2 linked regions of the Tribolium castaneum genome follow. The protein of the gene in region 2 purifies or fractionates together with the protein of the main gene of each other region. This does not show direct contact. Links are inferred from orthologs where the notes say so. Each region holds a gene or a part of one and is shown on either strand. Other genes may lie near its edges. The genes, in order: Caf1-105 and chromobox protein homolog 3.

Region 1 (4,276 bases), on a different chromosome or scaffold from region 2:
CGTATTCCACATTTTGCTAATTTGGAACGGGATAGCAGTGACGAAATCTTCACCTTTTTGGGTGAAAACGTGAATATTATGGGCATTTATGATGCAAATTGCAGGAACCGGCACGCCTTTAGTTTCCTCTTCTTTGTTAGAAAAAGGAAAAGCGTCGGTTTCATATCTGGGGTGCTCGCAGTGGAAAGTGCACCAAGCGGCGTGTTTTATAGGGAGAAGGGAAGTGTAAGCACAAATTGTTTTTCTACCGTTGTCTAAATTGTCACAATTGTTTAGCCCTCGGGACCACACTGCCGTGTGTCCCTTGACATAGAGTTCATCCTCCATAAAACTGACGTGACTTTTGGCAAAAGAACCCTCATAGCTTGGCCCTTGGGAATCAAAAAAAAAATAAAAATGCAAAAAATTGGTCCCACGTACCCCCATGAGCCAAGCTTTCATGCTTGAGTGAAAATTTCGAAAAACTCTCAGATATTCTCTTGCTAGTCTTTTGTGAATGATCGCAGCTTTGATAGCTGTAAGACTTGTCATTTTTACAGTCCTGATTCACACTAACTTTAGTACAAGAACTGTCTTTTGTCCCGTAGCACCAACTTGCCGCAGACTCAAACAAGGGGGTTTTCCGCAAAATCCACCATTCACTGTCTTTTTTCTCTTTTATTGAAACCTTTTCAAATTTATCAAGGAGTAGGTCCTCAGTTTGGCCTAAATTTTTTTGCGGGGGCACCCCATTGGGGCCTGGGTGTTTCAATGTTTGCTGCCGTCCACTTGGAACAAACTCCTGAAAAGTTTACGCAAAATATTGACTGAGTGAGAGCACCCACGAACCTGTGGATCTGAGGCAGCAATCATTGTTTCTACTTTCTCATCCAGATTTGCTAAATTTCAATAATGAATCAGAATGGTAACCAACATAAATCACGACTATTTTTCATTAAAAAACGCTTTTTTTAAACCGAATCGGCTCCTCTAACCTTCACAAACTTAACAGACAGCGCTGGCAATCTAAATGAAAGAAACCTAAATTTACTAGAATTTACAGACTTTACTTGAGTATTTAATTGTTAAATAGAGTATTTGCTTAATTTTTTATTAATTTGTGTTAATTTATATTCGTTCACGAAAAGGTTTGTAATTTAATTCAATTCATTCAATAGAATTGCTCATTTTTATACAAAAAAATTACATTTGTAAAAACAAAATCCCCAACGAGGAGACTAGTAAATTGGCGCCAAATGGTCGTAATATTTTTATTGGGTTGTTGTTTTGTGTAAAAAACGCCTTGTTTGTGTCTGCTACTATTCGTATTTCACAATTTAAGCCGCTAAACGTAGAATGAAGTGTTCGATACCAGAAATATCATGGCACAACCGGGAGCCCGTCTTGAGTGTTCATATTCAACCCGTTTTGGAGAAATTTTATAGGTTAGCAACTGGTGGTGCCGATTGTCATGTTTTGGTAAGCTTCGGTTTAAAAAAATTAAGTCTTGTGACGCTGTGCTTCAGATTTGGCAATTAACAATAAACGAAAACGGTAGTGTTAAAATCGAGGCTTTGTCTGATCTAACACGACACCAAAGAGCTGTGAATTCAGTTCGGTGGTCACCAGGGGGGCAGCAGCTCGCGACAGCTGATGACGACGCAAATATCATTATTTGGCAACTTAAAACCGATAATATCCCTCTACTGGAAGGAGAAACGAACGATAAAGAGACATGGATAGTGCATAAAGTAATGCGGGGGCACAAGGAAGACATTTACGACTTGTGTTGGTCACCCGATGGCTCAAAACTTCTATCGGGGTCTATAGACAACACTGCCATTTTGTGGGATTTTCAGAAAGGCAAAAATGAACAGATTTTAACCGACCACAAGGGATTTGTCCAAGTAAATTATTGCTAAATAAAAATATAGTGTTTGTAATTTTTCGAAATTTGAAGGGCGTGTCGTGGGATCCCAGAGGTCAGTTTTTGGCCACAATCAGTACCGACCGCATCTGCCGCATTTTTGAAAATACCGGTAAACAGGTGAAGGCTAGAATGCACAAGGGTCTATTACCGGTGCCGGAAGATCATTATCTTCACAACAAAGAAGTGAAATATTTTCATGATGACACGTTCAAGTCATTTTTCAGACGCTTAGATTTTTCACCTGATGGTTCTCTCCTGGCTGTTCCTTCAGGTCGCATTGAAATCGAGGATTGTAAAAAAATTCTCAACTGTACCTTGCTTTTTGCAGTAGATAACTGGGGAAGGTAAGTAATAGCGTAATTTTATTGAGCTGTTAAAGTTAATTTTGTATTATTTCAAATTTACACGCCAGAATAAAAATTATTAATCGGCTTCATTAATTAGTTAATTTTTTTTCAGTCCAATTTGTTTGTTTCCATCTGGAAAACAGTGCAGTACAGTTGTCCGTTTCTGCCCAATTCTCTTTGAACTGCATGAAGACGGACCTGATCCGCTAGTGTCTTTGCCTTATAGAATGGTTGTTGCGGTTGGGAGTGACCATGACGTAATTTTATACGACACTCAACAGTTGATGCCTTTTGCGTATTTCAAAGACATCCACTACACGAGATTAACAGATCTGACTTGGTCTAAAGACGGCCAGTTGTTAATAGCGTCCTCAACGGATGGTTTTTGCGCTCTTATCACCTTTGAGCCGAATGAATTAGGAGTGGAGTACATTAAAGAAGAAGAAGCTGAGGAAAGTGTTTTGGAGATTAGTGGATGTGAGGAATTACCGGATCACGATGAGACTGTTGAAGTTAACAACCCGAAAAAACTAAATTTGTTGGAACAATGGGCAATCAAAACGCCCAAAAAGGCAAAAACTGAAGGAGACACAAGTAAAAGAAAACCCGACGAACCGAACCGATTAACCCCAAAACGAATAAAACCGATTCCAGTAAAAGATGACGAAAATCAGAAAAACACGCCTGCCACCATCAAAAGAAAAGAACTTCCCTCGCCTAAAGCTAGCCCTCTTCTAAATTTCCTCAAACCTGTGTCGAAGGAAAAAATTGAATCGCCCGTTTCAACCCCTAAAATATCCACAGTTGATTTGATTTTAGACGAAGCAGAGGCTCGAGATGGCTGGCGCTGTGACAAAGATGAGACTGTTGAAAATAAACAAACAGAACCCAAATTAGGCGATGACGAATACACGGAAGAATTCAGTTTGCATTTAGAAGACACGAATAGTAAAAGTTGTGTTCAAGAAAACGACCAAAAAGAAGCCACTGAAAATTGTGTTCCTAAAGTTGAAGCAGACAAAGCAGCGACAAACACAGAAGACGTGAAACCCAAGAGACGAATTCCCTTAATCACGTTGTCAAGTCCCAAAACTACGAAAAAATAAAGTTTGTTACGTATTGTAAATTTTATTTATGGTTCGCTTTTTCGTTCTTTTTATTTATCAAGTGATGTCAATAAAAAAAGTATTATTTTGATGATGCATTTGATTTTGTGATGATTAGTGTTTCTCAAAATATTTCTTCTTCTCAATTGGATTAGGTATTATCTGAAATAAAGCAATATTAGACTGAGAATTTTCTTGCTGAATATTTTACTGTATCCTGGCCGGGTTTCCACTCCGCAGGACACACTTCTCCATGTTTATCGGTGTATTGGAAGGCTTGAACCAGTCTTAAAGTTTCATCAACACTTCTGCCAACCGGCAAATCATTCATAGTGATTTGCCTTAGCACTCCTTTAGTGTCTATAATAAATAAGCCCCTAAAACCAGAAACAAATTACAGAGTAATTATTTTAACCAAAAGTAAAACCTAAGAGTGTGTCCTAAATCCTCCAAAAACACGCCATATGACTTGGATATGCTATGATTCAAGTCCGACAAAAGCGGAATTTTGACTTTCCCAAGCCCTCCTTCTTTCCTAGGCGTGTTAATCCAAGCAAGATGAGTAAAATGCGAATCAACTGAACAGGCAACAACCTCCGTATTAATATCGCGAAATTCTTGGATCCGGTCACTGAACGCCAGAATTTCAGTGGGGCACACAAAAGTACTGAATAAAAAACAACAATCAAACGAAAAAACAATTCGCCCAACTTACAAATCAAGGGGGTAAAAAAAGAACACTAAATACTTCCCCAAAAAATCGGTGGATTTCAACTGAACAAACTCCCCGTCGACCACAGCCGTGCTCTCCCAAAAGGGGGCCGGTTTGGAGACTTAAAACCACGATTAAAACTGGAATAACGGTCCTGTTAACCACTTACTGACAGCTTGCGTCCACTGTAACTTATGCTCAG
Region 2 (3,196 bases):
TTTGCTGATTTAAGATCTAAAGACCTCTTTAAGAAAAAATCACAAAAATTTTGTGATTTTGAAAAGAATCTAAAAAAAAGTACAGAAACAATAAAAAGGTATATCTGAAAATGTTTTAAACGAAACTTAAGAAGATGTCTATAAGAATTACAGGCTTGAACAGCTGAAAATTTCAGACATAATCTATAATACGTAGTTTATGTGTAAAAATTGATAAGAAAAAAATTTATCTATACCCAAATCAATCACATAGGCCATGCGTCCGGGCACAAAAATCTCCGACCGTTCAATATGCCGACTCTTCAGCGCACAAATCGTGTGGTAAATCGACTTCCCAATCTTCGTCTTAAACTTAAGCTCATCCTCATCCTTCTTCTGCACCTCCTTCTTCTCCTTCTCCTCCGTCTTGGCCGCCAGCCTCTCCAACTCCTGCTCCTGCTCCTGCTCGATGTGCTGTATCTCGCTCCTCACCTTCTGCAACAGGGCATAATCCAGCCCCTTCACCAAATGCGTATGCTCCATATCGCCCCCCAAGAACTTGCTCTCTTGAATCATCTGTCGGCGCCTCTCGGCCGCATCGAACCCCGACTTCAGATCAGGCGCCACGGCACGATAGGCCTGAGCCGTGGCCACCGGGTCGTCGCTCTGGTAGTCGGGGTTCACCCCCTGGCGGCGCTCACTGGCCCTGTCTCGGTACTTCTCCGCCAGTTCTGCCATCTTATTGTCCTCCTGCTTCTTCAACTTGGCGTAGTAGCTCTTCTTCTTGCGTCGCGCCTCGTTCTTGTCGTCTTTGGGGGGCGGCATCGTCGACGAGTTGGCCATCGCCTCCCGGATGGAGCCGGGGGCGGGCGCGTTCGCGGGCGCCGACCGCGGGGTCATCAACAACTTGCGGAAGTCGTCGTTGGTCAGCCGCTGCGACCCGGGGGCCGCGTCCGAAGGCATTTTTAACCAAAAACTGGGCCTGAATGTTGCAACTAGAACTGTCAACTGTCAATCACATAACCTTGCTTCCTCCTAGCCAGAAAAAAATTACAGTGAACCACTTCAAATGAGACCAAATAGCCCCAAAATGCTAAAAACAAGCTTTTTGCATTTACTACAATTACTATCGCGAATAATTAACCAAAATAATCAAGGAAAAACAGCAAATTCTTGTCGATAACACGTAGAAAAAATTAAAAAAAAAACAACTTTCCAACCCTGTCCCACAACTAACACTTAGTAATTATTTAATTAAGTATTTTTGCAAACCTACACGTATTTTTTTTTGCAAACAAAATTTATCAAAGTTTCAAACCAAAAAGTGCAGATTCAGTTGGGGCGCCTAACCACCGTTTTTTTCATACTGGGGGGGCTTTACGTTACGGTGAATAAACGCAAACGGCTTGAATAATAAATAATTCACCGGAAATATCACTATTTGGGGCTTTTAATTCATTAAATTAGTAAATAGGGGTGTAGGAACCTGCTTGTTACCGGCGGAGCGCACCTCCGCCATGTTTGTTTGAAAATTGTGAGCAAAGCGTCTGTTTTGCGGCTTTTGAAGTTATTTTAATTTCTTGCACGAAATCCCTCCAAAGTTGAGTAAAATTCGGCGTAAGTGTGCCCCGTGCGCCCCCCGGTGTGTACAGTGTGTTTTCTCCATCAGGGCACAATGAGCAAAAGCAAGAGGACGAGTCCTTCCCCCGCAGACCAAGAGGCCAACGAAGAGTACGTTGTGGAGAAAATAATCGACAGTCGGATAAATGCGGCCGGTATTAAGGAATACTACTTGAAATGGATCGGTTACGACGACAAGGACAACACATGGGAGCCCGAGGAGAACCTGGACTGTCCCGGGCTGATTGCGGCTTTCGAGGCCGAAAGGGCCAACAAAGACAAGGAGCGCAGCAAGAAGCGCAAGATGAACAGCACGCCGACGCCCGACATGAAGGGGGCCAAGAGGAAGAACGACGAGAAGAAAGTGCACGGGTTTGATAGGGGGCTAGAGCCCGAAAAAATAATCGGGGCCACGGATAGTTCCGGGCAGTTGATGTTCCTCATGAAGTGGGAGGGTACAGATGAGGCGGACTTAGTGCCCGCGAAACAGGCGAATATTAAGTGCCCCCAAGTTGTCATTAGGTTCTATGAAGAGCGTCTCACTTGGCATTCGCCCACAAATGACGAAAATAAAGCCGAGTGAAGGCTAGTTGTAAGGATATTCATAATGTACATATTCAACACGAATTATATACTATTATTAGACGAAAAAATCATTTGGACTAAGTAGGCGTTTAGAATCTTCCCGTATTATTATTATTTGAATCTGACTCCCTAGCTGTAAGTTTAGTTTCTTGACTTAATCAATAGAAAATTGTAATAATTTTTTTTATTTGAAATAAAACAAAACACCATTGCTTCGTTATCACTTATCACCCGAAAATATCATGAAAAGTGGTCCCATTGTACCCCACATCGCTAGTCGGCGCGTTCACGAAGTGAATATACATCCTAGAAACACAAAAAGTACAAAACCACACCAAAGACCCAATTACCGGTCCTTCGAAACCCCCAATTCCTTGCACACAACTTCGTACAAAGCCTTGGCGTGCTTTTTGTTTGGTTCCACGCCCAAGGCGCCAATGCTCATCAGAGTGGCTTGAGCGGCGGGCTCACTGGTGCCCCCCCAAGACATGTGGACGTCTCCGATCACAGTAGCCACACAATACTTGAAAAAAATTGAGTTATTCAAAGTTGACGTAACCTCAAACTTACATTGAGTGGCTTTGATAAGGAATTTGAAACAACTTGGCACAATTTCTGAGGCAAATCGGACGGGATTTTGCTCTGGGGCACGTTTGTCTCAACGCGAAAGTGAGGCATTTTGCGGAAAAAAATTGGCGGTGTTTTTATAACCTAGAAATGGACGTCAGAATTGACCTCTGGGTGACCTCCCAGGGGGGGGCGGGAATTTATACAAAAAGTGTATTGTTGAGGAAATTTGAATTTTTGAGTTTGGAATTCAAAATAGGGGCACAAGGGCCTAAAAATGCAATTTTAAAATTGGATTTTTTCAAATTACGGGCAGCCATGTTGTAGTGTTTGAAATGGCGGCAAATTCGCAATTTTACTATATTTTTACCTTTTTTTTCCTTATTATTAAAAGCTACGTCCAATAATTAAGGTGTTCCATTTGAAAAAATCTCACTTTTGTGTT

What was found.
Region 1: the proteins of chromobox protein homolog 3 (region 2) and Caf1-105 purify together in Homo sapiens (affinity purification with mass spectrometry; 3 studies listed by BioGRID and IntAct, with this or other methods). This does not show direct contact. The link is inferred for Tribolium castaneum from reciprocal best matches to the Homo sapiens genes CBX3 and CHAF1B.

Annotation. Positions count from the first base shown.
Region 1 is NC_087397.1:4,716,481-4,720,756, forward strand, and holds Caf1-105 (chromatin assembly factor 1 subunit B), read left to right. Parts: upstream 1-1,211; 5' UTR 1,212-1,335; coding exon 1,336-1,458; intron 1,459-1,505; coding exon 1,506-1,886; intron 1,887-1,939; coding exon 1,940-2,253; intron 2,254-2,368; coding exon 2,369-3,362; 3' UTR 3,363-3,453; downstream 3,454-4,276. Other genes in the region: shtd (anaphase-promoting complex subunit 1), read right to left, coding at 1-371, 421-781, 829-852; Prx4 (peroxiredoxin-2), read right to left, coding at 3,477-3,524, 3,574-3,739, 3,790-4,029, 4,078-4,195, 4,244-4,276. UniProt on the Homo sapiens protein: Acts as a component of the histone chaperone complex chromatin assembly factor 1 (CAF-1), which assembles histone octamers onto DNA during replication and repair.
Region 2 is NC_087401.1:16,339,707-16,342,902, forward strand, and holds chromobox protein homolog 3, read left to right. Parts: upstream 1-1,439; 5' UTR 1,440-1,596; intron 1,597-1,648; 5' UTR 1,649-1,654; coding exon 1,655-2,182; 3' UTR 2,183-2,393; downstream 2,394-3,196. Other genes in the region: beag (protein Red), read right to left, coding at 237-942; macrophage migration inhibitory factor homolog, read right to left, coding at 2,412-2,490, 2,535-2,707, 2,755-2,862.